Linked DNA regions of Saccharomyces cerevisiae S288C. The protein of the gene in region 1 interacts with the protein of each later gene in a biochemical or structural test. Each region holds a gene or a part of one and is shown in the gene's direction. Other genes may lie near its edges.

Region 1 (4,382 bases):
TTCACTTTTTCTCGCAATTACAAAATTTTTCACTCCGTCGTTGATGAGGACTCCGGCTCTGCGGGTAATGAAATGGAAAGTTCAATGCATTCAAAATATACGCTTTTGAAGCGGTTACTTAGTTTGTGAGAGAAATATACATTATTACTGTAACTCTTTTCTAAATTTTTTGTATTTATTAATGCATTTCTGCTGGTTCCATCCTTTTATCTTCTCCGGTACCAAGAAATAAAATATCATGCTCAATGGATATTACGGCTTTTATTCCACGAAGAAAACAAGCTCTTTACTTTAGTCTTTATTTATATTCAGTTTCTCGGTTTCTTCTCTTAAAGCCTCGGTGGCTTCCTTGGTGACTTGTTCAATTTCTGTACCCTTTGTGATTTGGACCGAATTCTTGCCCTCAGTTTGTGTGTCTTCTTCATCATCTTCAGGTTCGACATCATACTTCTTCAAAAAGTATGTTTCCACTTCTTCCTTCCCGCTGTTCTCGGCCTCAAAGATAGCATCGTGGCCGAATTTGTTTCTAATAAAGGGGTCTGCCTCATATTCATCACACAGTAGCTTGACCACGTCTAATTTGCCATTCAACGACGCCCAATGTAAAGCCGTGTTGCCTGTTTTGTTCACCTCATTAACAAAAGCTTTCAAGTCTTCGGCACTATTTGCGCGAGAAACCGTCTCCAGTATATACCGAACGGTCTCTATATGACCGTTGGCAGCAGCCATATGTAAAGCCGTAGAATCAGATTCACTTTCCTTACAAGTCGAAAGTAACTCGGGACTGACTAAAGTTGTAAATATATCTTTCAGAGAATCCAAATCGCCAGCTCTTGCATCGAGTATTATGGTGTCTTGGTCCTCTTGATCTAACGGTTCACTGTGTAGGCCCATATCTGCGTATATGTAGATTTTTTTTTTCTATTTGGAAATAATTACTTTCTTTGAGATAGAGCGCGAACAATTTTGCCTATCGTATTACAATTCGTTTTTGTTTTACACAAATGATAATTAACTCATCGATTTTTTCTCAGATTCTCTTTTTCTTTTATTACTTTTCCTTCTTATTCTATGAAAATTTCATATCATCGTTCATGGTGATATTACCACGGTGACATCAAATGGAATTGTCCTATTTTTCTTTTCCTGTAATTAGTGGCGCGGGACTTTTTATTCCTCGTGGCAAAGAATGGCTACTAAGAGGAGAATAAGAGATGGTTAGAAGTATTTGGAAGCTTGATGACAGAATATTTTAAAATATAACTTAGCTTGCGTGTGCGTATTTGTATTCTTCGTGGTTACGATATGAACCAACGTGCAAGCGTGTGATATATCACATTCCGGAGGGTGTCACCCCCCCTCTCTCAACACAGTAATCCATAAACCAGTTTTACATACACGTAAAAAAGAACAGGAATAAAGCTTAATCGGATTATTAACTCATACGCTTGTCACATATTGTTCGAACAATTCTGGTTCTTTCGAGTTTCGCAGAACTTTTTGAATTTTTCTTTTTTTTCTAGAACGCCGTGGAAGAAAAACACGCGCATGGTTTTATGAGCGGTTAATTCTCATCTTAATACCAACCAGGTCCTTCCGCCACCCCCTAAAACATATAAATATGCAGCTTATCCCTTCAATTCTTAACATCTGTGACCTCCTCATTTCTTCCCGCTGTATTAGAGTTCAAGAAATCATACCTGATAGAAAATAGAGTCCTATAAACAAAAGCACAAACAAACACGCAAAGATATGGCTAGTGAAACTTTTGAATTTCAAGCTGAAATTACTCAGTTGATGAGTTTGATCATCAACACCGTCTATTCTAACAAGGAAATTTTCTTGAGAGAACTGATATCTAATGCCTCGGATGCGTTGGATAAAATTAGATACAAATCTTTGTCTGATCCAAAGCAATTGGAAACAGAACCAGATCTCTTTATTAGAATCACTCCAAAGCCAGAGCAAAAAGTTTTGGAAATCAGAGATTCTGGTATTGGTATGACCAAGGCTGAATTGATTAATAACTTGGGTACCATTGCCAAGTCTGGTACCAAAGCCTTCATGGAAGCTCTATCTGCTGGTGCCGATGTATCCATGATTGGTCAATTCGGTGTTGGTTTTTACTCTTTATTCTTAGTTGCCGACAGAGTTCAGGTTATTTCAAAGAGCAACGACGACGAACAATACATCTGGGAATCCAACGCTGGTGGTTCTTTCACTGTTACTCTAGACGAAGTTAATGAAAGAATTGGTAGGGGTACCATCTTGAGGTTATTCTTGAAAGATGACCAATTGGAGTACTTGGAAGAAAAGAGAATAAAGGAAGTTATCAAGAGACATTCTGAGTTCGTGGCCTACCCAATCCAATTAGTCGTCACCAAGGAAGTTGAAAAGGAAGTTCCAATTCCAGAAGAAGAAAAGAAAGACGAGGAAAAGAAGGATGAGGAAAAGAAGGATGAAGACGACAAGAAACCAAAATTGGAAGAAGTCGATGAAGAAGAGGAAAAGAAGCCAAAGACGAAAAAAGTTAAAGAAGAAGTTCAAGAGATAGAAGAACTAAACAAGACTAAGCCTTTGTGGACTAGAAACCCATCTGATATCACTCAAGAAGAATACAATGCTTTCTATAAGTCTATTTCAAACGACTGGGAAGACCCATTGTACGTTAAGCATTTCTCCGTTGAAGGTCAATTGGAATTTAGAGCTATCTTATTCATTCCAAAGAGAGCACCATTCGACTTGTTTGAGAGTAAAAAGAAGAAGAATAATATCAAGTTGTACGTTCGTCGTGTTTTCATCACTGATGAAGCTGAAGACTTGATTCCAGAGTGGTTATCTTTCGTCAAGGGTGTTGTTGACTCTGAGGATTTACCATTGAATTTGTCCAGAGAAATGTTACAACAAAATAAGATCATGAAGGTTATTAGAAAGAACATTGTCAAAAAGTTGATTGAAGCCTTCAACGAAATTGCTGAAGACTCTGAACAATTTGAAAAGTTCTACTCGGCTTTCTCCAAAAATATCAAGTTGGGTGTACATGAAGATACCCAAAACAGGGCTGCTTTGGCTAAGTTGTTACGTTACAACTCTACCAAGTCCGTAGATGAGTTGACTTCCTTAACTGATTACGTTACCAGAATGCCAGAACACCAAAAGAACATCTACTACATCACTGGTGAATCTCTAAAGGCTGTCGAAAAGTCTCCATTTTTGGATGCCTTGAAGGCTAAAAACTTCGAGGTTTTGTTCTTGACCGACCCAATTGATGAATACGCCTTCACTCAATTGAAGGAATTCGAAGGTAAAACTTTGGTTGACATTACTAAAGATTTCGAATTGGAAGAAACTGACGAAGAAAAAGCTGAAAGAGAGAAGGAGATCAAAGAATATGAACCATTGACCAAGGCCTTGAAAGAAATTTTGGGTGACCAAGTGGAGAAAGTTGTTGTTTCTTACAAATTGTTGGATGCCCCAGCTGCTATCAGAACTGGTCAATTTGGTTGGTCTGCTAACATGGAAAGAATCATGAAGGCTCAAGCCTTGAGAGACTCTTCCATGTCCTCCTACATGTCTTCCAAGAAGACTTTCGAAATTTCTCCAAAATCTCCAATTATCAAGGAATTGAAAAAGAGAGTTGACGAAGGTGGTGCTCAAGACAAGACTGTCAAGGACTTGACTAAGTTATTATATGAAACTGCTTTGTTGACTTCCGGCTTCAGTTTGGACGAACCAACTTCCTTTGCATCAAGAATTAACAGATTGATCTCTTTGGGTTTGAACATTGATGAGGATGAAGAAACAGAGACTGCTCCAGAAGCATCCACCGCAGCTCCGGTTGAAGAGGTTCCAGCTGACACCGAAATGGAAGAGGTAGATTAGGTAGAACATCATGGCCTTGAATAGGTTATAAACAAAACATAATATAACGTATAGGTATTCGAATGAATAAATAAGTATGTAAATAGGGCATCTGCATGGAAATAACTGGGTAAAACATTACAATGTATTTTTTTAGAGTTTTCACTATTCCGACGCGTCTAGTGTGTCATACAAAACGCGAAGAATCTGAAATCGTGAAATATACTTAAGAATATAACTGAAATAGCTTAAGCATAAATGGACTTTACTGCGAAGATAAAGGGTATGTTGAAACTCATCTGCTTTCATTATGCGTCCAACTAATTAACATTGCATATTTTCGTATACTATTTTTTTGTGTAGAGCTCGAACGAGAACTCTCAGAGACGAGTGACTATAAGACCTTGCAGAAGAAGACCATAAGTCTTCGAAGTGAGCTGAATACTCTGTCACATTCTTTGACATCTTATGAAAAAGAACACTTCTCCAATGATATAGAAAATGTATTAAAATCTATTAAT
Region 2 (8,432 bases), on another chromosome or scaffold:
GTATGGTTCACGATACCTTGCGCGGAAGTGAAACCGGAACGGTCACATTTGGAGCACGTAATTATAACCAAAATGCCGTCATATCTTCTAAAAATGGGCTCATTATTTTCAGTCTTACCGATGATACCGCTATTGCTCGTCAAACAAGTGCTACTGTAATTACGTCTGTGGTTAAGATGCATCTGACTTGGTTTAAAAGGGAGTATCTGGAACCCCGGCTGCTCGTCTAAGGGGGAGATTGAGGAGGAACGAGGTGAAGAAATGCCATCCGAATTAGAGTGAGGAAGCGAGACGGGAGTGGGCTTGGTTATGGCTTCTGATAGAGATTTAGAACCTGTTAGCCTGTAATCAATTATATTCGAATTTGCCGGACGGAGGGCAGAAGGTTCTAGCAAAAGCCCGTTACTCTTGCTTCTAGTATGATAATGGTGGTGTGGTATGCGTGTTGTTGACAGATTTCTGTTGCTGCTCGAAGACAAAGGCTGACAGTTGATGTTATAATCCGATAGAACCGGGTATGACAGGTTATAATTTGATGCGTTCGTATTTTCCGTAGCCGTACTGTCGTGAAAGTGGCCGCCGAGCACGCTATGCTGCTGATGTTGTTTTATTTTGAGTTGATACGTCCGTTCGATTTTGTTCAATAGACCAGTATCCTTATGCAGGGTTTCCAAGAGAGCTAGTTTTGCGTTAACCTTTTGAACATTTCTTCGTAAGTGCCTAACATGCTTGTGGTTTAGCATTATATGTAGGTTCAAAACATTCTGTATTTCCCCTTTGGCACATTCGTACTTCAACCGCTGGGTATTTTCGCTATCCTTGTCCGGATTACTGGTGGCGGTGTCCATTTTGAAGGGCTCATCCATGTTGTTTTCCAAATCCTGAGGAGACTTTGGCGTGGTAACCTGATAAACGTTCGTCATCTTAGAGGATGACGATGAGGAAGAATTAGGATTATGATGCTGGTGCTGCAGTTTATCTTGGGCGGGACTCATCATGAGGAGATGGACATATACACAAAGTGTTGGATGAGAAGCGTGAGCCCGAAGAGTAGTGAAATGCCGAAGATCAGGGTGTTTATATGAACGAACACTAGCTTACAAATGTGGAAACGGGATCCTTCAGAGGTAAAATGCGCCTTCAGTGGCCAAAGTTCATCACCTTCCTTAGCACGGGTTCTTGCTGTCTGCTCTTCCTGCTTCTTCCCTGTTCGTTTTTCCCTCTTCCTACGGCTATGCACAGTGGCAAATGCACTGCATGTGTTTCTGTGGCGGGTATCCCTCAATTGCGGGTAACAATAAGTAACTCAACATCACGAACGACGTTTATGTTTGCTGTTACCACAAAGGGTAAAACGTCAATAAAAGCAAGCAATGTTATTCGTGCCAGAGAACTATATCTGGCGTACGTCTTATATATAACACAAGCAAGGGCAAATACGTGGTTAGTGGTGTAAAAACTGAAGGGATTAATTTACATACAACTAGATCCATCTTTCTCAAAAATGACTTCAGTATCGCCCTCGCCACCTGCCAGTCGATCGGGCTCAATGTGCTCCGACTTACCGTCCTCTTTGCAGACTGAGAAACTGGCACATATTATAGGTCTTGATGCCGACGATGAAGTTCTCCGGCGCGTAACCAAGCAGTTGAGCAGATCTAGGAGAATTGCTTGTCTGACTGGGGCAGGCATTTCGTGCAACGCGGGCATTCCTGACTTTCGCTCTTCTGATGGGCTCTACGACCTAGTGAAAAAGGATTGTTCACAGTATTGGTCTATCAAGTCCGGCAGGGAAATGTTTGATATTTCGCTATTTAGAGATGACTTCAAAATATCCATTTTTGCTAAATTTATGGAGAGGCTCTATTCAAATGTTCAATTGGCAAAGCCGACTAAGACGCACAAGTTCATTGCGCATCTAAAAGATAGGAACAAACTGCTGCGCTGTTACACGCAAAACATCGATGGGCTCGAAGAAAGCATAGGACTTACTTTATCAAATAGGAAATTACCGCTTACCTCATTTAGTTCACATTGGAAAAATCTGGATGTCGTTCAGTTGCACGGCGACCTGAAAACTCTTTCGTGTACAAAGTGCTTCCAGACTTTTCCCTGGAGCAGGTACTGGTCTCGTTGTCTAAGAAGAGGTGAGTTACCATTGTGTCCGGATTGCGAAGCACTTATCAACAAGAGATTGAATGAAGGAAAGCGAACTCTTGGTTCTAATGTGGGTATTCTAAGACCTAATATCGTCCTGTATGGTGAAAACCATCCATCCTGTGAAATTATTACGCAAGGCCTAAATCTTGACATAATTAAAGGCAATCCTGATTTTTTGATCATCATGGGTACAAGTTTGAAAGTTGATGGTGTGAAACAACTGGTAAAAAAATTAAGTAAGAAAATTCACGATCGTGGCGGCCTGATCATTCTCGTAAACAAGACACCCATTGGCGAATCCTCTTGGCACGGCATTATAGACTACCAAATCCACTCAGATTGTGATAATTGGGTCACATTTCTTGAATCCCAAATACCAGATTTCTTCAAGACGCAAGATCAAATTAAGAAGTTAAGACAGTTAAAAAGGGAGGCGAGCGACTTGAGAAAGCAAATGAAGGCCCAAAAAGACTCAATCGGAACCCCCCCAACAACCCCTCTACGAACTGCCCAGGGGATTGATATTCAAGGAAACAACGAATTGAATACAAAAATAAAGTCGTTAAACACAGTTAAGAGAAAAATACTGTCACCAGAAAACTCCAGTGAGGAAGACGAAGAGGAAAACTTGGATACAAGAAAACGCGCTAAGATACGACCAACTTTCGGTGACAACCAAGCCTCATAAACTTAACTATTAAAATTGAGTTAACGATAAATAATCGAGGCAGACACCCCTTTGCATAATATATCATCCGTTTAATTTATCTTCCATTTATATACTCATACATATACCAACGGAGATCTGCATGTCCGAGAATACAAAAAATAGTGAACGAAAAAAATATCACATCGCGAAAGAAAAGCTATCTGATATCTGCAACACGAAAACACAACAGTCGCGGCATGCAGATAGTACAAATTGAGCAGGCCCCAAAAGACTACATAAGCGACATCAAAATAATCCCTTCCAAGTCACTGCTTTTGATTACGTCTTGGGATGGCTCTTTAACAGTCTACAAATTCGACATTCAAGCAAAGAATGTTGACCTTTTACAATCGCTACGATATAAACATCCGTTATTGTGCTGCAATTTCATCGACAATACCGATCTGCAAATATACGTGGGAACTGTACAGGGTGAAATTCTAAAAGTTGATTTGATAGGTAGTCCCAGCTTCCAAGCTTTGACGAACAATGAAGCCAATTTGGGTATTTGCCGAATATGCAAATATGGAGACGATAAACTCATTGCCGCGTCATGGGATGGCCTGATAGAGGTTATCGACCCTCGCAATTATGGTGATGGAGTTATTGCTGTTAAAAATTTGAACTCTAATAACACAAAGGTGAAGAATAAGATATTTACTATGGATACAAACTCCTCTCGATTGATCGTTGGTATGAACAATAGTCAGGTTCAATGGTTTCGCCTGCCACTCTGTGAGGATGATAACGGAACAATTGAAGAATCAGGACTGAAGTACCAAATAAGAGATGTCGCTCTTTTACCGAAAGAACAAGAAGGTTATGCATGTAGCAGCATTGACGGGCGAGTTGCTGTGGAGTTTTTCGATGATCAGGGCGATGATTACAACTCAAGCAAAAGATTTGCATTTAGATGCCACCGTTTGAATTTAAAAGATACAAACTTAGCGTATCCAGTAAATTCTATTGAATTTTCCCCCCGTCATAAGTTCCTATACACGGCTGGCTCTGATGGCATAATTTCATGCTGGAACCTACAAACCCGCAAGAAAATAAAAAATTTCGCCAAATTTAACGAAGACAGCGTGGTTAAAATTGCTTGTTCGGACAATATTCTATGTCTGGCAACTTCTGATGATACTTTCAAGACAAACGCCGCAATTGACCAAACTATTGAACTAAACGCAAGTTCAATATACATAATATTTGACTATGAGAACTGATATCTTCGTGAAGATTCGTGTAGTATGATAGAACATTCCAGAAAAAAAATTCAGATTCATCGCTCTCTCTTCGCTTCTCCTCCTTTAAGGAATAAAGAAAAAATCACATACATAGATTAAGTAAATAGGATCTGCTAGAAAAATTATATATAGATCAATCATCTTATTAAGGTATCTTGTTTAAGCCCAAAAGTCTGCTCCCAAATTCCTCACTGTAGCTACTAAAACAACCTATACGCAAGAAAGATGTCATTGACAGCCGATGAATACAAACAACAAGGTAACGCTGCATTTACCGCTAAGGATTACGATAAAGCGATAGAGCTCTTCACTAAAGCTATTGAAGTTTCTGAAACTCCAAACCATGTTTTATATTCTAACAGGTCCGCCTGTTATACTTCTTTAAAGAAATTTAGTGACGCATTGAATGATGCTAATGAATGTGTCAAAATCAATCCATCTTGGTCTAAGGGTTATAATAGACTCGGTGCCGCCCACTTAGGTCTTGGCGATCTCGACGAAGCTGAAAGCAACTACAAAAAAGCCTTGGAGTTGGATGCCAGTAACAAGGCCGCCAAAGAAGGATTGGATCAGGTTCATCGTACCCAACAGGCAAGACAGGCACAGCCTGATTTAGGGTTGACACAGTTGTTTGCTGACCCAAATTTAATTGAAAATTTAAAGAAGAACCCAAAAACTAGCGAAATGATGAAGGACCCTCAATTAGTGGCTAAACTGATTGGGTACAAACAAAATCCGCAAGCTATTGGCCAAGATCTGTTTACTGATCCAAGATTAATGACCATCATGGCTACATTGATGGGGGTTGATTTAAACATGGATGATATAAACCAATCAAACTCCATGCCAAAGGAACCGGAAACCAGTAAAAGCACTGAACAAAAGAAAGATGCTGAACCACAAAGCGATTCCACTACGAGCAAGGAAAATTCCTCTAAAGCACCACAGAAAGAAGAAAGTAAGGAATCCGAGCCAATGGAAGTTGATGAAGATGACTCTAAAATTGAGGCCGACAAGGAAAAGGCCGAAGGTAACAAGTTTTACAAGGCACGTCAATTCGATGAAGCTATAGAGCACTACAACAAGGCGTGGGAACTGCATAAAGATATTACCTATTTAAACAACCGTGCTGCTGCTGAATACGAAAAAGGCGAATACGAGACAGCTATTTCTACCTTGAATGATGCTGTTGAGCAAGGTAGAGAAATGAGAGCGGATTACAAGGTCATTTCCAAATCATTTGCGCGTATTGGTAATGCCTATCACAAATTGGGTGACTTGAAGAAAACTATAGAATACTACCAAAAATCATTGACCGAACATCGTACTGCTGACATTTTGACCAAGTTAAGGAATGCTGAAAAAGAATTGAAGAAAGCTGAGGCGGAGGCGTATGTTAACCCTGAAAAGGCGGAGGAAGCCCGTCTTGAAGGTAAGGAATATTTTACCAAGAGTGATTGGCCGAATGCTGTTAAGGCTTACACTGAAATGATCAAAAGGGCACCTGAAGATGCTAGAGGATATTCTAATAGAGCTGCTGCACTAGCGAAGTTAATGTCTTTCCCTGAAGCTATCGCAGATTGTAACAAAGCCATTGAAAAAGATCCAAATTTCGTGAGAGCTTATATCAGAAAGGCCACCGCACAAATTGCTGTTAAAGAATATGCTTCCGCTTTGGAAACACTAGATGCGGCCAGAACCAAAGATGCTGAAGTGAATAATGGTTCTAGTGCAAGGGAAATTGATCAACTGTACTACAAGGCAAGCCAACAAAGATTCCAACCTGGTACCAGTAACGAAACCCCAGAAGAAACCTATCAAAGGGCCATGAAAGATCCTGAAGTGGCTGCGATCATGCAAGATCCTGTTATGCAAAGTATTTTGCAGCAGGCCCAACAGAATCCCGCTGCTTTACAAGAACACATGAAAAATCCAGAAGTATTCAAAAAGATTCAGACGTTGATCGCTGCTGGTATCATCCGGACTGGCCGCTAAAAATAATACGAAATATAACTTTATTATCTTGAATTCTTTTTTTACTGCTTTTTCATACATACGTACATATAATGATCTTCTCACTTAGTATACTAAATTTGTTTCATGCTATGGTTGATATTTGAGAAATCGGAACTTGAAGATAATAAGTTTCTTGGGCGAGGGAAAAAAACATCGGACCATCTTTCCTGTCGTTCTCCGGATCAGCCCTAGGAAATTTCTGGCCGGAACTCTCCTTAGAAACAAAAAAAATTACGTAATTGGCACAACTTTACGTCAACAATATTCATTACATCAGAATGCGAAAAAAAAAAAGCGAGAATATCTAAGCTCCATGACAACATTCGCTAAGCTGAAAAAATTAGGGAAATAAACTTTTCAAATTGCTATGATATAATTTCGTTTCTTACTATGTATTTTCTACGTATATTTTTACACTCTTGACTCTTTCCTTTTTAGTAATGTGCCTGCCATAAAAAAAGGGAGATGAAGGAAAGAAAATAAAAATGGTGAAAATTAAGCTTTGTTGATTACCTAATACAAGCTGCCTGAAACTAGAAACCATAAATTGTTTCCTATCTCGTAATATTTTCGCCACCTTAGGCATCAATTTTCTTTGGAGAAGGGGGGTTGCATCCCCCTGAAGAAGTGCTTGCCATGTGCTTTGAAAACTTTTAAGATGTTACTAGTACTAATAATTATTCATTATTTTATTCTTTTAATTTCGACTTTAATGATTCAATCATTTTTTTCAATTCACTGTTTTCTTTCATCAAGCCATCGAATAGTTTTGATTTTTCTTCGAGATTTTTGATGTATTTCTCACGACGCTGCCTAAACGCCTTTTGTGCGCTTCGATTTTGGGCAGCTCTCTTAGTATTTCTTAAAGGTTTGCCTGTTTTACCGATCAACTGGCCATCATTGTTATATCTTTCGCCTTCGTTAAAAACCTGCTCTGAAAGAGAAACGGAAACTCGACGTCTTTCCTCTGAAGGAAGGTTAGTCGTGGCACTATTTTTTCTCGTAGCTGGGGTACTATTTGAGGGAAAATATGAAGCTGCCGGTTGGCTAGTAAATGTAGATGCAGTAGTGTAGGAAGATTCAAATGGTGCGTGTGATGCAGTGGTGTATGGATTAGAATTGAAGTGACAGTTTAAATGAGTATCTGATAGTTGCGGTCTAAGCTGGTATGTGTTCAGTCTTGGTAAAGACGGAGGAATCAAATTGTTTATTGTCACCGGCCTTGCAATATGTGGGCCCGCAGTATTTGGAACATCCTCACACAATGCTCCTATATTAACAGAATTTCTTCTTCCAGAAAGATCTGTAAGTGAGCCAGTTCTGCTCTCATAACCAGGCTCTTCAAGTGTTGCAATCTTTGGGAGCTGAATTTGCGGTAGAGTCACATTCGAAGCAACTACCGAAATTGTATGCAAATCAGCCTTGTTCTCCTCTTTAATAAACCCTACAGGAGGGCTTGGCACGAAAGCGGTATCCGTCATTTTTTTTGGCTTTGTACTGTCTCTTGTCATTGAATGGGAAGCTAAAATAGGTTGAAAATTAAAAGGATGATTGTCCATTTTTATTTGCATTAACATTTGAGTAGGTTTTTGGTTTTCCTTCTTGTTCCAAGCTGTTATTCTATATCTATGATGAGATTAACGGCTGCAAAAAGTCGTAGTTAATCAGTAAAATTATCTAATGAATTATTTGTAAGCAGAATGCGTGAGAAAAAATAAATCACCCAGTTCCTTTTTTATATACATGAACTTTGGTAATGATGCAGACATCAACTAGTTCTCGAGTGAGGAGGTATCCTTATCAAATCACTCTCTCCCTAGTATTGAAAGGGTTTTACTCGCCTTCTGCTCCTAGTTACGATTTTTGCCTAGTACTCCTTCCTACCCTCTTCCTCATAGATTTAATGCCAATAAAATTTTCTTTGCATGTCACCATTGGGATCGGTGAGGCAACTCCGGTTCCGATTTTTTTTTTTTCAGCGCCGTGGTATTTCCGCTCGGGAAATCCCCTCCCGCATTGCGTCAGAGCTTATCGATGTAAAGTTAATTTCCCTTTTTTTCGGTTGGGCTGGAGCACTTGGTTGCATTACTAACAAATTAACGAACAATAGTTTTAAAAGCAAGTGCCTTAAGATTTAGGTCATTCCTTCGAGGATTTCTGGGAACAATTTAAAGAATAACAGAAACTTTTGCGGCCCTTTTCATCATCTACGTGTTTTGTAAGAATGAGATCACATTCCACGTAGCCCTAAACATTGGCGTACATTTCCACTCGGAACCTTTTCTCGACCCCTCTCCGTACGC
Region 3 (6,940 bases), on another chromosome or scaffold:
CATCGAATAACGCCCAAGGGGGAAGTGCTAGTATTATGGAACCTCAGGCGGCTGATGCGGTTTCGACAATGGCGCCTATATCAATGATTGAAAGAAACATGAACAGAAACAGCAACATTTCTCCATCAACGCCCTCTGCAGTGTTGAATGATAGGCAAGAGATGCAAGATTCTATAAGTTCTCTAGGAAATCTGACAAAAGCAGCCTTGGAGAACAACGAACCAACGATAAGTTTACAAACATCACAGACAGAGAATGAAGACGATGCATCGCGGCAAGACATGACCTCAAAAATTAATAACGAAGCTGACCGAAGTTCTGTTTCTGCTGGTACCAGTAACATCGCTAAGCTTTTAGATCTTTCTACCAAAGGCAATCTGAACCTGATAGACATGAAACTGTTTCATCATTATTGCACAAAGGTCTGGCCTACGATTACAGCGGCCAAAGTTTCTGGGCCTGAAATATGGAGGGACTACATACCGGAGTTAGCATTTGACTATCCATTTTTAATGCACGCTTTGTTGGCATTCAGTGCCACCCATCTTTCGAGGACTGAAACTGGACTGGAGCAATACGTTTCATCTCACCGCCTAGACGCTCTGAGATTATTAAGAGAAGCTGTTTTAGAAATATCTGAGAATAACACCGATGCGCTAGTTGCCAGCGCCCTGATACTAATCATGGACTCGTTAGCAAATGCTAGTGGTAACGGCACTGTAGGAAACCAAAGTTTGAATAGCATGTCACCAAGCGCTTGGATCTTTCATGTCAAAGGTGCTGCAACAATTTTAACCGCTGTGTGGCCTTTGAGTGAAAGATCTAAATTTCATAACATTATATCTGTTGATCTTAGCGATTTAGGCGATGTCATTAACCCTGATGTTGGAACAATTACTGAATTGGTATGTTTTGATGAAAGTATTGCCGATTTGTATCCTGTCGGCTTAGATTCGCCATATTTGATAACACTAGCTTATTTAGATAAATTGCACCGTGAAAAAAACCAGGGTGATTTTATTCTGCGGGTATTTACATTTCCAGCATTGCTAGACAAGACATTCCTGGCATTACTGATGACAGGTGATTTAGGTGCAATGAGAATTATGAGATCATATTATAAACTACTTCGAGGATTTGCCACAGAGGTCAAGGATAAAGTCTGGTTTCTCGAAGGAGTCACGCAGGTGCTGCCTCAAGATGTTGACGAATACAGTGGAGGTGGTGGTATGCATATGATGCTAGATTTCCTCGGTGGCGGATTACCATCGATGACAACAACAAATTTCTCTGATTTTTCGTTATGATAGAAAATTTAAAAGTGCAGAATATTCGAAATAGATTCCCAAAAAAAAAAAAAGGGATATTGTGTTACCCAGTTCACAATGGAATTTTCTAGAAGAAAAAACAAAGAAGCCTCGCAACAAACCAAGATGGATTCAAAATGCCTACTTACCGCATTGTATGTGGGAGAATGAACATATCTGTAATTGTATTATATAAAAGTAGTTAGTTTTTTTTTTTTTTTTTTTTTTTTTTTTTTTTTATGTGTAATGCAAATACAAAAAGAACTGCAGGCATTTTGAAAGTTCACTCGTATAGGAAACTTTGATAGAGAGGCAATTCCTTACTTTCGTTATTCCTTTCAGTCTTATTCTTAATCGTTTATAGTAGCAACAATATATCAATATGGTCGTGAATAACCCAAATAACTGGCACTGGGTCGATAAGAACTGCATCGGATGGGCCAAGGAGTATTTCAAACAGAAACTGGTTGGAGTGGAGGCCGGTTCGGTGAAGGATAAAAAGTATGCCAAAATCAAGTCTGTTTCGTCCATTGAAGGTGATTGTGAAGTTAATCAGCGTAAGGGGAAGGTTATATCTTTGTTTGATTTGAAAATCACGGTGTTAATAGAGGGACACGTGGACTCTAAGGACGGATCGGCATTGCCATTCGAGGGTAGCATTAACGTTCCTGAAGTTGCCTTCGATAGCGAGGCCTCAAGCTATCAATTTGACATATCTATATTTAAGGAGACTAGCGAATTGAGTGAAGCCAAGCCACTAATTAGATCCGAGTTATTGCCCAAGTTGAGACAAATTTTCCAACAATTTGGCAAGGATTTGCTGGCCACCCATGGTAATGACATTCAGGTGCCCGAATCTCAGGTGAAATCTAACTACACAAGAGGTAACCAAAAAAGTAGCTTTACCGAAATCAAGGACTCCGCTTCAAAGCCAAAAAAGAATGCACTTCCCTCTTCTACTTCAACTTCAGCACCAGTCTCCAGCACCAACAAAGTCCCCCAAAACGGAAGCGGCAATAGTACATCTATTTATTTAGAACCAACTTTTAATGTGCCTTCCTCCGAGCTCTACGAAACGTTCCTTGATAAGCAACGCATATTGGCCTGGACCAGATCAGCACAATTTTTCAACAGCGGACCGAAGCTGGAGACCAAAGAAAAATTCGAGCTCTTTGGCGGCAACGTGATCAGCGAGTTGGTTTCATGCGAAAAGGACAAGAAACTTGTTTTCCACTGGAAACTCAAGGATTGGTCTGCCCCTTTCAACTCTACTATCGAAATGACTTTCCATGAGTCGCAAGAATTCCATGAAACCAAATTACAGGTGAAGTGGACTGGCATACCCGTTGGCGAGGAAGATCGCGTGCGCGCTAATTTTGAAGAATACTACGTGCGTTCTATTAAATTGACATTCGGCTTTGGTGCCGTATTATAAGATATATTGTTCTCATGTTTCAATAAAAGTATGCGTAAATATTTACATACCACTATTGGCATAGATAGAATGCAATACATCATGTAGTTCTGTACGGCATCCGCGCGGCTCCGATCGCCCGTCCTACTTTTGCGGCCCGGCGCCGACGGCCTCCCCGGAATTTACCAACGAAGAGGAAAATAAACTGGAGTTATAACGCCATTGGCGGGAAACTCCGAAACCATAGCGCCGTGGTCTTTCCCCGGTTTTTTGGCGCCGGGTGTGCTTGCGTTGTGTGAACGGCGCCCTGGCAGCTGAGGGGGAAGGGAAACGCCGGAGGCGACGGCAAGGATGACCATGGCGTCAAGGAACATGCGGAACATGCTAGAATGATTGCCGAAAGGGCGGGCCCTAGTCAATGGCATCATGCGGGAACGTGCAGTAAAGCTCAATGTAACTTGATGCCTATCGGCGTTGTTCGAGCTAAGGACGATGTGATAGACTGAGGAAGGGTGAACGTCGATAGTTAGCCGTTGTGAACTAAATAAAAGTGATATTTTTTCGTTGTTCTTTTCTTGGTTTGGCGGTGTTTTCATTTGTTTTCATGTTTTACTTCGCCACAGGTTTTCAAAGAACAACGCCTTAAAAATAGGAAAACGTTTTCGCTACAGGTGTTGTTATTATTGTTGTTGTGCTGTTGTTTATTGTGCTATACTTGTGGTATTTATTCTGGACTTCCGATCGGAAATTTTCTTCCCTTGAAGACCTTTTGAAGACAACAGTTATATATCATTGATCTGAATTTCTCAGGCTATTTTCAAAATTCCATACCTCCTTATTCCAACATTTGCTCGACTACTATAGAAAAGCCTTATTCTTTTATCTTTGAAAGAAAGAAAAGGTGTCATAGCAAAAGTTTATTGTTACTCTGTTTTGATATACTCCCTCTTATTCGTTGGAAGTATAAGATTGATTTGCATAAATTAACCAATCATTTTGCTACTTTCCCGGTTCTCCCTTTATTATAAACACTTCAGAAAAATATTCTGCTACTATTCCTTACTTTACTATAAGAATTTTGTTTTCCAAAAAAAAAAAATATAAAAAAAATAATCATACTCTATTACTATGGCTAACGTAGAAAAACCAAACGATTGTTCAGGCTTTCCCGTTGTTGACTTGAATTCGTGCTTTTCTAACGGCTTCAATAATGAGAAACAAGAAATAGAAATGGAAACGGATGATTCACCGATTTTATTAATGTCATCATCAGCTTCCAGAGAAAACTCAAACACTTTCTCTGTGATACAGAGGACGCCAGATGGAAAGATCATTACCACAAATAATAATATGAACTCCAAGATTAACAAGCAACTGGACAAGTTGCCCGAAAATTTAAGGCTTAATGGTAGAACCCCCAGTGGGAAACTAAGGTCATTTGTTTGCGAGGTTTGTACGAGAGCGTTCGCAAGACAAGAGCACTTGAAAAGACATTACAGATCGCATACAAATGAAAAACCTTATCCCTGTGGCCTCTGCAACAGATGCTTTACTAGGAGGGACTTACTGATCAGGCATGCTCAAAAAATCCATAGTGGTAATTTAGGGGAAACGATTTCCCATACCAAGAAAGTGTCGAGAACTATAACTAAAGCTCGGAAAAATTCTGCATCCTCAGTCAAGTTTCAAACTCCAACCTATGGTACTCCAGATAATGGTAATTTTTTGAATCGCACTACTGCCAATACAAGAAGAAAAGCAAGCCCTGAAGCTAATGTTAAACGTAAGTACTTGAAAAAACTGACGCGCAGGGCTTCATTTAGCGCACAATCAGCATCCAGCTATGCTTTGCCCGACCAATCTTCGCTAGAACAACATCCAAAGGATCGTGTTAAATTTTCTACGCCTGAATTAGTTCCACTTGACTTGAAGAATCCTGAACTTGACTCTTCGTTTGACCTGAATATGAATCTAGATTTAAACCTAAATCTAGATTCCAATTTCAATATAGCATTAAACCGTTCTGATTCTTCTGGATCAACAATGAATTTGGATTATAAATTGCCCGAATCAGCAAATAACTACACATATTCTTCCGGCTCACCAACCCGCGCATATGTCGGCGCTAACACGAATTCTAAGAACGCTTCATTTAATGACGCAGACTTATTGTCGTCGTCGTACTGGATAAAAGCCTATAATGATCATTTGTTTTCAGTATCTGAAAGTGATGAAACTTCTCCAATGAACTCTGAATTAAACGACACTAAATTAATCGTCCCAGATTTTAAATCGACTATACATCATTTGAAGGATTCAAGGTCCTCCTCTTGGACTGTTGCTATAGATAATAATAGCAATAACAATAAGGTATCAGACAACCAACCTGATTTCGTCGATTTTCAAGAACTGCTGGATAATGATACTTTAGGTAATGATTTGTTAGAGACCACTGCCGTTTTAAAAGAATTTGAACTTTTACATGATGATAGCGTAAGTGCTACCGCCACGTCAAATGAGATTGACCTTTCCCATTTGAACCTATCAAACTCTCCAATTTCTCCTCATAAGTTAATTTATAAGAATAAAGAGGGGACCAATGACGATATGTTGATTTCTTTCGGACTCGATCATCCTTCCAATCGCGAAGATGATCTGGATAAGCTATGTAATATGACCAGAGATGTTCAAGCCATATTCAGTCAATATTTGAAAGGAGAAGAGTCTAAACGATCCCTGGAAGACTTTTTATCAACGTCAAACAGGAAAGAAAAGCCAGATAGCGGCAACTATACTTTTTATGGGTTAGATTGTTTAACGTTATCGAAAATATCAAGAGCTCTGCCGGCCTCCACTGTGAACAACAATCAGCCATCGCATTCCATAGAATCAAAGCTATTTAATGAACCAATGAGAAATATGTGCATTAAAGTGCTTAGATACTATGAAAAGTTCAGTCATGATAGTAGTGAGAGTGTCATGGACTCTAATCCAAACTTGCTGTCCAAAGAATTGTTAATGCCAGCTGTGAGTGAATTGAACGAATATTTAGATCTTTTCAAGAATAATTTCCTTCCCCATTTCCCTATTATTCACCCAAGCTTGCTTGATTTGGATTTGGATAGCTTGCAACGATATACTAATGAGGATGGGTATGATGACGCTGAAAACGCGCAGTTGTTTGATCGATTAAGTCAAGGGACAGATAAAGAATATGATTACGAGCACTATCAAATCTTGTCCATTTCGAAAATCGTTTGTTTACCCTTATTTATGGCCACATTTGGTTCTTTGCATAAGTTCGGTTACAAATCTCAAACAATAGAATTGTATGAGATGAGTAGAAGAATTCTACATTCTTTTTTGGAGACTAAAAGAAGGTGTCGCAGTACAACAGTAAATGACAGTTATCAGAACATTTGGTTGATGCAATCCCTAATATTGAGCTTCATGTTCGCTCTAGTTGCTGATTATTTGGAGAAAATTGACTCCTCTTTGATGAAAAGGCAATTGTCCGCATTATGTTCAACGATCAGATCAAACTGTTTACCGACAATTTCTGCAAATTCTGAGAAGAGTATCAATAATAACAATGAACCTTTAACATTTGGTTCTCCTCTTCAATACATCATTTTTGAGTCAAAAATTAGATGCACCTTAATGGCTTATGATTTTTGTCAGTTCTTGAAATGTTTCTTCCATATTAAATTCGATTTGTCTATAAAGGAAAAAGATGTTGAAACCATTTATATTCCCGACAATGAGTCAAAATGGGCCAGTGAATCGATAATATGTAATGGGCATGTTGTGCAAAAGCAAAATTTTTATGATTTTAGAAACTTTTATTACAGTTTCACGTATGGACACTTACACTCAATACCAGAATTTTTAGGGTCATCTATGATTTATTATGAATACGATTTAAGAAAAGGAACCAAATCACATGTGTTTTTGGATCGAATCGATACGAAAAGGCTAGAGAGGAGTCTTGACACTTCTTCCTATGGCAATGATAATATGGCAGCAACCAATAAAAATATTGCGATCTTAATTGATGACACCATAATTTTGAAAAATAATTTAATGTCAATGAGATTCATCAAACAGATTGATCGCTCGTTTACTGAGAAGGTTAGAAAAGGACAAATAGCAAAGATATATGATTCCTTTTTGAACTCTGTGAGGTTGAATTTTTTGAAGAATTATTCAGTTGAAGTAT
Region 4 (7,368 bases), on another chromosome or scaffold:
CTGGTAAAATCAACAACCACAACAATGACAGCATATTGGAAAATAGAATGGATGAAAGAAGTTCCACAGAGGATAATGAGTTTAGCACAACCCCACCATCTAACACGCACAATAGTAGGCCAAGCCACGATTTTTGTGAGCTGCATCCTAATAATAGCCCGGTGATTTCCGGCATGCCATCAAGAGCTAGTGCTATTTTCAAGAATTCGATCTTTAATAAATCCAATGGAAGTTTTATATCCCTAAAGTCAAGAAGTGAAAGTACGAGCTCCACGGTGTTTGGACCGCATGATATTCCGAGAGTTTCTACCACTTATCCGAAGTTGAAATGTGACGTCTGCAATGGATCTAATTTTGAATGTGCTTCCAAAAACCCCATTGCTGGCGGTGATAGCGGTTTCACGTGTGCTGATTGTGGTACAATCCTCAATAATTTCAGATAGAGAATCAGAAAGTAAGAGGAAAAACTATCTGTTCCACCGTCTTTAGATCATAAGCATGTCTGCAAATAACATAGTATTATTATTTATATCTGTAGCGATCTTTATTATTTTTCATTACTGACACATTTTCTCACAGAACCATCTACAACCCGAAAGATGCCGGAAACGGTCTTAGGCCGATGGGGTCTATTAGGGCCTACAGAGACGTCAATTGGGCTATAAGAAAAATGAAATCGAGGAAAGATTTTCCACTCTCAAATTAAGTAGGGCAAAAATATGCTTTTGTTCGCATGTGGTGTTATTCCAGTTGCGAGTCAGGGTCTGCCGATATGCTAAAGGAGGTCACGAAAACGAATCTGGCATTTAATACCTCATTAAGTTACAGCGGAATCGGCCTTCTGTTGCGGAAAAAAAAAAAAAAAAGAAAACGAACATTAAGCACCGCTGAAATTTCAAGCTGTGACTAAGTCGTCAAATGATAAATACTGCATATATATAAACTATGTGATTATATGCAACATTAAGATATACTTTCTTCTTCCATAATGCCCCCACTCCAGAACTCCATCCGAAATAGTTTTCCTTAGATTGCTATAGCAAGTCAGACACAAGCACATCTCATCGAATTATATCGTAAGCAAATATGTCATCTGACAACTCTAAACAAGATAAACAAATTGAAAAAACAGCCGCCCAGAAGATATCGAAGTTTGGTTCGTTTGTGGCTGGTGGGCTAGCAGCATGTATAGCTGTTACAGTTACTAATCCGATCGAATTGATTAAAATCAGAATGCAGCTTCAAGGTGAAATGTCAGCATCAGCTGCAAAAGTTTATAAAAATCCAATCCAAGGTATGGCGGTAATTTTCAAAAACGAAGGTATAAAAGGTCTGCAAAAAGGGTTAAATGCTGCTTATATCTATCAAATTGGGCTAAATGGTTCCAGATTAGGGTTTTATGAGCCAATCAGATCATCATTAAATCAGCTTTTCTTCCCAGATCAAGAGCCACATAAGGTACAGAGCGTCGGAGTTAACGTCTTTTCTGGTGCCGCATCTGGTATAATTGGTGCAGTCATTGGCTCTCCATTATTCTTGGTGAAAACAAGACTTCAATCATATTCCGAGTTTATAAAAATTGGTGAACAAACGCACTACACCGGTGTTTGGAACGGGTTAGTAACCATTTTTAAAACCGAAGGTGTTAAGGGTCTATTCAGAGGTATTGATGCGGCAATTTTAAGGACAGGTGCTGGTTCCTCTGTTCAACTACCTATCTACAACACAGCAAAGAACATTTTGGTCAAAAATGATCTGATGAAAGATGGCCCAGCATTACATTTAACTGCTAGTACTATCTCTGGGTTAGGTGTTGCCGTCGTTATGAACCCATGGGATGTCATTTTGACAAGAATCTATAATCAAAAAGGTGACTTGTACAAGGGACCTATAGATTGTTTGGTCAAAACTGTTAGAATCGAAGGTGTAACCGCTTTGTATAAGGGTTTTGCAGCTCAAGTGTTCAGAATCGCACCTCATACAATCATGTGTTTGACCTTCATGGAACAGACAATGAAACTAGTTTATTCGATAGAGTCGAGAGTTTTAGGCCATAATTAATTCCCATAACAAACTCCGAGGTTTGAAGTTTCATTCATTGGCCAGGACAGTTCTACTTTACTAATGGTTTCATTACAACCTTTTTCTTCATATTATGTAGCATTAAGGATAATAGAGCATTTTTTATTTCACATTCATACACGATAGTTTTATAAACGTAATTATAAACATACAGAACATTATTCACAATTGTCCAGTTCCAAGAATTATATGCTCTCGGATCTCGGAGTTCTTATTTATAAAATGATCAGTTACAGTGTAATCTTGCTTAGAACTTTCTTTTTCTCAACCTTTGTTTTTTCTTTTACTTTTGCTTCTTCGAGTTTTTTCAGATAGCTGTTATACACAACCACATCTGCTACTAAGACCAATATTCCAAAGAACAAGCACAACAAAAGACGAACATGGACCGGAAAGTTTGTTGAAGATCCGGTCCAGTACCAAATGGCCACAACAACCGATATGACACTTACAAGAACGTTGAAAACAGTGGTAACTTGTTCCTTAATCTGTTTATTAATTTGTGAAGGCGTGAGTTCATCGTCTTCTTGAAGTGAAAAGACAGACTTGCTTCTCTTGACCATACTTTGATATTCAAGTTCTTGTTCCTGATATTTCAAAAACTCTAATTTTTTCTTGAAATCCTCTGAATAGTGTAAACCTCTGACGGCCTTGGGCTTGAATTCGAACTCCAAAGGTTTCAAAAGTTCTTTGATAGAGCATTGGAGATCACTGTCTTTTCTATACTCTTTCACATAAAAAAGAAGTGACTGCATAGGTATTGCGTGTCGCTTCAGGAACAAATCAATGTCCTCATCAATTCCTTCGTTTGATTTCGCGCTATTCTTGAACTTTCGCAGAAATTCAGTTATTCTATCATTCAGTTTAATTTCGAACATTAGAGTTCTTTTATGTGATGCCAATCGTCAATTATCCTATCTTACCTTTTCTTCATTTCTTTCAGCGTTTTCATGTGAGATTTGCTTTATTTTCGCTTCCTCGTTTCTCATTTTAAATATTCACACGTCCGTCATGTCTACTTTGAGTCAGTTAAATACACAAGATTTTTGTAAAACTGAGTATTTCGTGAACAATATAATTGTTCGGATTCAATCATAGTTAAAGACTATAGTATGAGATACACAGAATATCCTAAAAGTTCCCCTCGAGGGTATAGGAAACCTCAAAATGGAATCGGTCTTTCTACATGATAATATTACTCTAACTTCTTTTCTTCTATACTTTGCCATTCATTACCCTATCACGTTATCAATCCTTGCATTTCAGCTTCCATTAAGACCGATAACTGTTTCCCAATCTCTATGTCATCATCTTACACCGCTGTGATAATATTCTAGGAAGACGAATACTAGCCAATAGATGATACAAGGATTTCATTTCGACAGAAACAAAAAAAGCATGGAAAAACGAATGGAGACAAAGAGGAAGTTAAAGAAAGTTCATTTGTGACCTCATTTACTCAGAAGAATTTCGTAAATCGGTTGTTATAGAACTGTTTTATTGTTTAAAAGAGCTTGTTATAGTAATCTAAGTGGAAATACACTAACAGTAAATAGGGCGTGTGGCGTAGTCGGTAGCGCGCTCCCTTAGCATGGGAGAGGTCTCCGGTTCGATTCCGGACTCGTCCAATCTTTTTATACTTATTAATAATTTTTTTCCTGCCGTTACTTGCTTTTAAAATAACTGCCTTTTATGAATACAGAGTATAATTTTTGATATACAAAGAGGTTGACTGTGATAATCAATACTTAATTTGTGGTTATTGGTACACATATACCTACAAAAGTTACCAACAAACTGTTCGACTTTTAATGCTACCCGCCTTCCGAGTGTTTTTGAAGGGGCGGAGAGGAGCGGCAAGAATTAGCATGGAAAAAAGCATAAAAAGACGAAATGGGTGGCAATGTATTAACTTGTTCGAGAAACCTAGTGGACTCAATTCATTACAACAACAAGTTCCCAAGATCATCGATTCATAATAGTCATGTCCGATAAAGTTATTAACCCTCAAGTTGCATGGGCTCAAAGGTCTAGTACTACTGATCCAGAAAGAAATTATGTCTTAATAACTGTGTCAATTGCAGACTGTGATGCCCCTGAGTTAACCATTAAGCCATCATACATCGAATTAAAGGCTCAATCAAAGCCTCATGTTGGCGATGAAAATGTCCATCATTATCAATTACACATTGATCTATACAAGGAAATTATACCTGAAAAAACAATGCATAAGGTTGCTAATGGCCAGCACTACTTTTTGAAATTGTATAAAAAGGATTTAGAATCTGAATACTGGCCACGTTTGACAAAGGAAAAGGTGAAGTACCCTTACATCAAAACTGATTTCGATAAATGGGTTGATGAAGATGAACAAGACGAAGTTGAAGCTGAAGGTAATGATGCCGCTCAAGGAATGGATTTCAGCCAAATGATGGGAGGTGCTGGAGGTGCTGGAGGTGCTGGAGGCATGGACTTCAGCCAAATGATGGGAGGTGCTGGTGGCGCTGGTTCTCCAGATATGGCTCAATTGCAGCAATTATTGGCTCAAAGCGGTGGTAATTTGGACATGGGAGATTTCAAAGAAAACGATGAAGAAGATGAAGAAGAGGAAATAGAGCCGGAAGTGAAAGCTTAAAAGGAGGAGCAAATCAACCTGGAGTGCTAGAATGAGTAACTTAGAATAAAAGACGAATATATGCACTTTACACAACTCTTTACCTGTTTGTTATTGGCTGCCTCTATGTAATTAAATATTATGGAATTAATAAAAATATTTTTATTCGTAACTATCTTAGATATATATTGTACATTGTCAAAAAGACAGTAGTAAGCAGATAGAAGCTATATTGGATGCAAAATAGAGAAAAAAGCAGAAATATTATGTTGCAAATGTCAAGTAATGGAACTGTATGTGATATTTAAAGAACAATTTCTATATGCTGGATGATTATCAGGTGTAAGCAATAAGAAAGAAAACGAAAGTAACTCCCATCCGTGGGAAATTTCAAGAAAAACTTAGAGTATCAGCGATCGTTTTAACGAAGGGGGATTCGTAAATTTCATTAATCGACCAACGTTGGTTCTTCCTCGTTAGCGTATTTTCCACAATCTGTTTTCCCACATTAGTTTTATAATCGCTTAACCGGTACCATCTCCAATCAAACCTGGCAATACGATGTGACGTAGCTCTGCTACGCTGTCTTGCTGAAGCGTTTGGAGGAGGGTCAAATGGTAATCTGTCCTCAAACAAGCTGTATAGTATGACACCTAAGGCCCACGTGTCGCTTAAATGGCCATCGTAGGGAACTCCCATCAGGATTTCTGGTGAGACATAATCCTCTGATCCACATCTTGCTGTACACATCTCATTGTTCTCAATTTTTTTGCAGAGACCAAAATCTGCTAGCTCAATGAAATTTTGCTTGCAGTAAATGGGTGAGTCCCTAAAACTGTTGATATCATCAAAACTATATTTCAGTAGTATATTCTCTAATTTTAGGTCCCGATGAATAATACTGTTTTCGTGCAAATATTTTACTGCCAGTACTACTTCCGTAAAAATCCTTTGAATCAGCCACGCTTCTAGTCTTCCGTTACGGGCCATGACGGCAGCTAATAAGTCTCCTGCAGGACAATAAGACATAATCATATCACAAGGCGGCAGAGCTCTTGGAGTTTTTATAATCAAATCGCATAAAGGTTTTTTGCTAGTAACAAAAATTGGATTGTTTATCCCAAGTAGTTTAACTATACATGGGTGATTTAGTGATTTTAGCACCTGCAATTCCCTAGTCAGAGAATTTTCCAAACGGGATAAAGTTTCCTTATATCGTAACGATGTATTGATTTGTTCAACATTTGATAATTCCTCGGGATATTTGAGTCGTTTAACGGCCACTTGTTTCAGTTTAGGATTGCTTTGGTCCATGAGTTCATATAAAAGTACGGTACTAAAATTTCCTGAACCAATGGGCCTGACCTTTTTCCATAATAACGGGCGATCCCAGTGATCTAAAAGAAATCCCTGAAATATATCATCGTCACACTTTTCGGTAGAACTACTACTTTCGGGAAAATAAGGTTCTTTCGTGTAGTTATCACTATCAACAGAATCATTTACTAAAGCCTCTTCAGTCACTGTTGGTAAGGAAACAACCCTTTGGGGGGATAAATTAGCTGGTGCAATAAGTTCAGAAACAACTCTTTGGTTTGGTTGTGTAACAGAAAGCATATCATCCAGTAATCGTGCATGACTTCGTCTTTTGGGTATATTCAACGAGGATTGATCTATAGGTGACATTGACAGATTGCCTGGGGATAACGGAGTGTAGGTCATCGGTGTAGGTAATGCTTGGACATTTTCAAACGTCGGAATAGATACAGTCAAAGGTGTACTGCGAGAATCACCAGTGGTCCCTTCAGTGGATGCCATTTTTTTATCTTCCTCACCATTTTCATCAATCAATGCCTTTTCGTGTTGATCGCCAATGGAGTCGGGAAATCCTTCTTGTTTCAACCGAGGAGTCTTTGGTTGTGAATATATACTACTATATTCATCCATTGTCGGTATAACCTAACAGCTGCTGTGGGTATGGATGAATTCGAAGCGTAGATGTGATTACTATCTCAAAATATACTTGTCTAATTGTGTAAAAAAGAAAAAAAAGATAAAGAACACACCCCGCGTTGAAGATTACAAGTAAAAAACTTTCTATGCTTAGGAATAACGTTCCATAAGAGGATGGTGTGCTCAGCCTTCTTAGTTCATTTACTGGAATGTATTTAACTTTACCCTTTTCGTCTGCTAATCCATCAGTATGTGAAAAATGAAAATCTAAAAAAAAAAAAGGCTGCCTTATTCTGTAACGCAACGCGAAACATCTATAAACCAAGTAAGTAGTTTCTATGAAATGGGCAACAGCATCTTGGATGACGAAGGGTAGCATTTAGTTACGTACGTTGAGATAATCTACAAAAATTGATTACGTATTTAAAATTCTTCTCGCTTCTCATTATTCTTTCTTAGTCTTCCTCTTCTTTGTCATTTGTGACAAGATATCATTATCGCTTGGCTCTGCAGTGGCTTTCTTCCTCTTGGTGCCCCCAGCTCGCTTCTTTTGTTTAACCTCAAACTTGTCTAACTGTTCCTTACGCGATTTAGCACCTAATTTCTGCAGCGTATCATTTTTTTCTTTATACTCCTTGTCTTCTAACAATTCGCTCTCACTCTTTGATTCCAACCACTCCATAAGTTTGATTTCATTACCATAGCCTTCATCATTTTCG

The links.
Region 2: the proteins of HSP82 (region 1) and STI1 form a complex in vitro, tested with the Saccharomyces cerevisiae proteins (13 studies listed by BioGRID, with this or other methods).
Region 3: the proteins of HSP82 (region 1) and AHA1 form a complex in vitro, tested with the Saccharomyces cerevisiae proteins (7 studies listed by BioGRID).
Region 4: the proteins of HSP82 (region 1) and SBA1 form a complex in vitro, tested with the Saccharomyces cerevisiae proteins (10 studies listed by BioGRID, with this or other methods).

The regions. Positions count from the first base shown.
Region 1 is NC_001148.4:95,996-100,377, reverse strand, and holds HSP82 (Hsp90 family chaperone HSP82), read left to right. Parts: upstream 1-1,752; coding exon 1,753-3,882; downstream 3,883-4,382. Other genes in the region: YAR1 (Yar1p), read right to left, coding at 292-894; GTPase-activating protein CIN2, read left to right, coding at 4,120-4,144, 4,225-4,382. UniProt on the Saccharomyces cerevisiae protein: Molecular chaperone that promotes the maturation, structural maintenance and proper regulation of specific target proteins involved in cell cycle control and signal transduction. Undergoes a functional cycle that is linked to its ATPase activity.
Region 2 is NC_001147.6:376,715-385,146, forward strand, and holds STI1 (Hsp90 cochaperone STI1), read left to right. Parts: upstream 1-4,338; coding exon 4,339-6,108; downstream 6,109-8,432. Other genes in the region: AHC1 (Ahc1p), read right to left, coding at 1-998; NAD-dependent histone deacetylase HST3, read left to right, coding at 1,505-2,848; BUB3 (Bub3p), read left to right, coding at 3,067-4,092; CIN5 (Cin5p), read right to left, coding at 6,819-7,706; YOR029W (uncharacterized protein), read left to right, coding at 7,886-8,221. UniProt on the Saccharomyces cerevisiae protein: May play a role in mediating the heat shock response of some HSP70 genes. It is required for optimal growth of yeast cells at both low and high temperature.
Region 3 is NC_001136.10:891,186-898,125, forward strand, and holds AHA1 (Aha1p), read left to right. Parts: upstream 1-1,689; coding exon 1,690-2,742; downstream 2,743-6,940. Other genes in the region: UPC2 (Upc2p), read left to right, coding at 1-1,307; YDR215C (uncharacterized protein), read right to left, coding at 2,904-3,317; DNA-binding transcription factor ADR1, read left to right, coding at 3,850-6,940. UniProt on the Saccharomyces cerevisiae protein: Co-chaperone that binds to the molecular chaperone HSP82 and stimulates its ATPase activity.
Region 4 is NC_001143.9:216,258-223,625, forward strand, and holds SBA1 (Hsp90 cochaperone SBA1), read left to right. Parts: upstream 1-4,066; coding exon 4,067-4,717; downstream 4,718-7,368. Other genes in the region: DGR2 (Dgr2p), read left to right, coding at 1-443; OAC1 (Oac1p), read left to right, coding at 1,087-2,061; VPH2 (Vph2p), read right to left, coding at 2,313-2,960; serine/threonine protein kinase PRR1, read right to left, coding at 5,087-6,643; DNA-(apurinic or apyrimidinic site) lyase APN1, read right to left, coding at 7,095-7,368. UniProt on the Saccharomyces cerevisiae protein: Acts as a co-chaperone.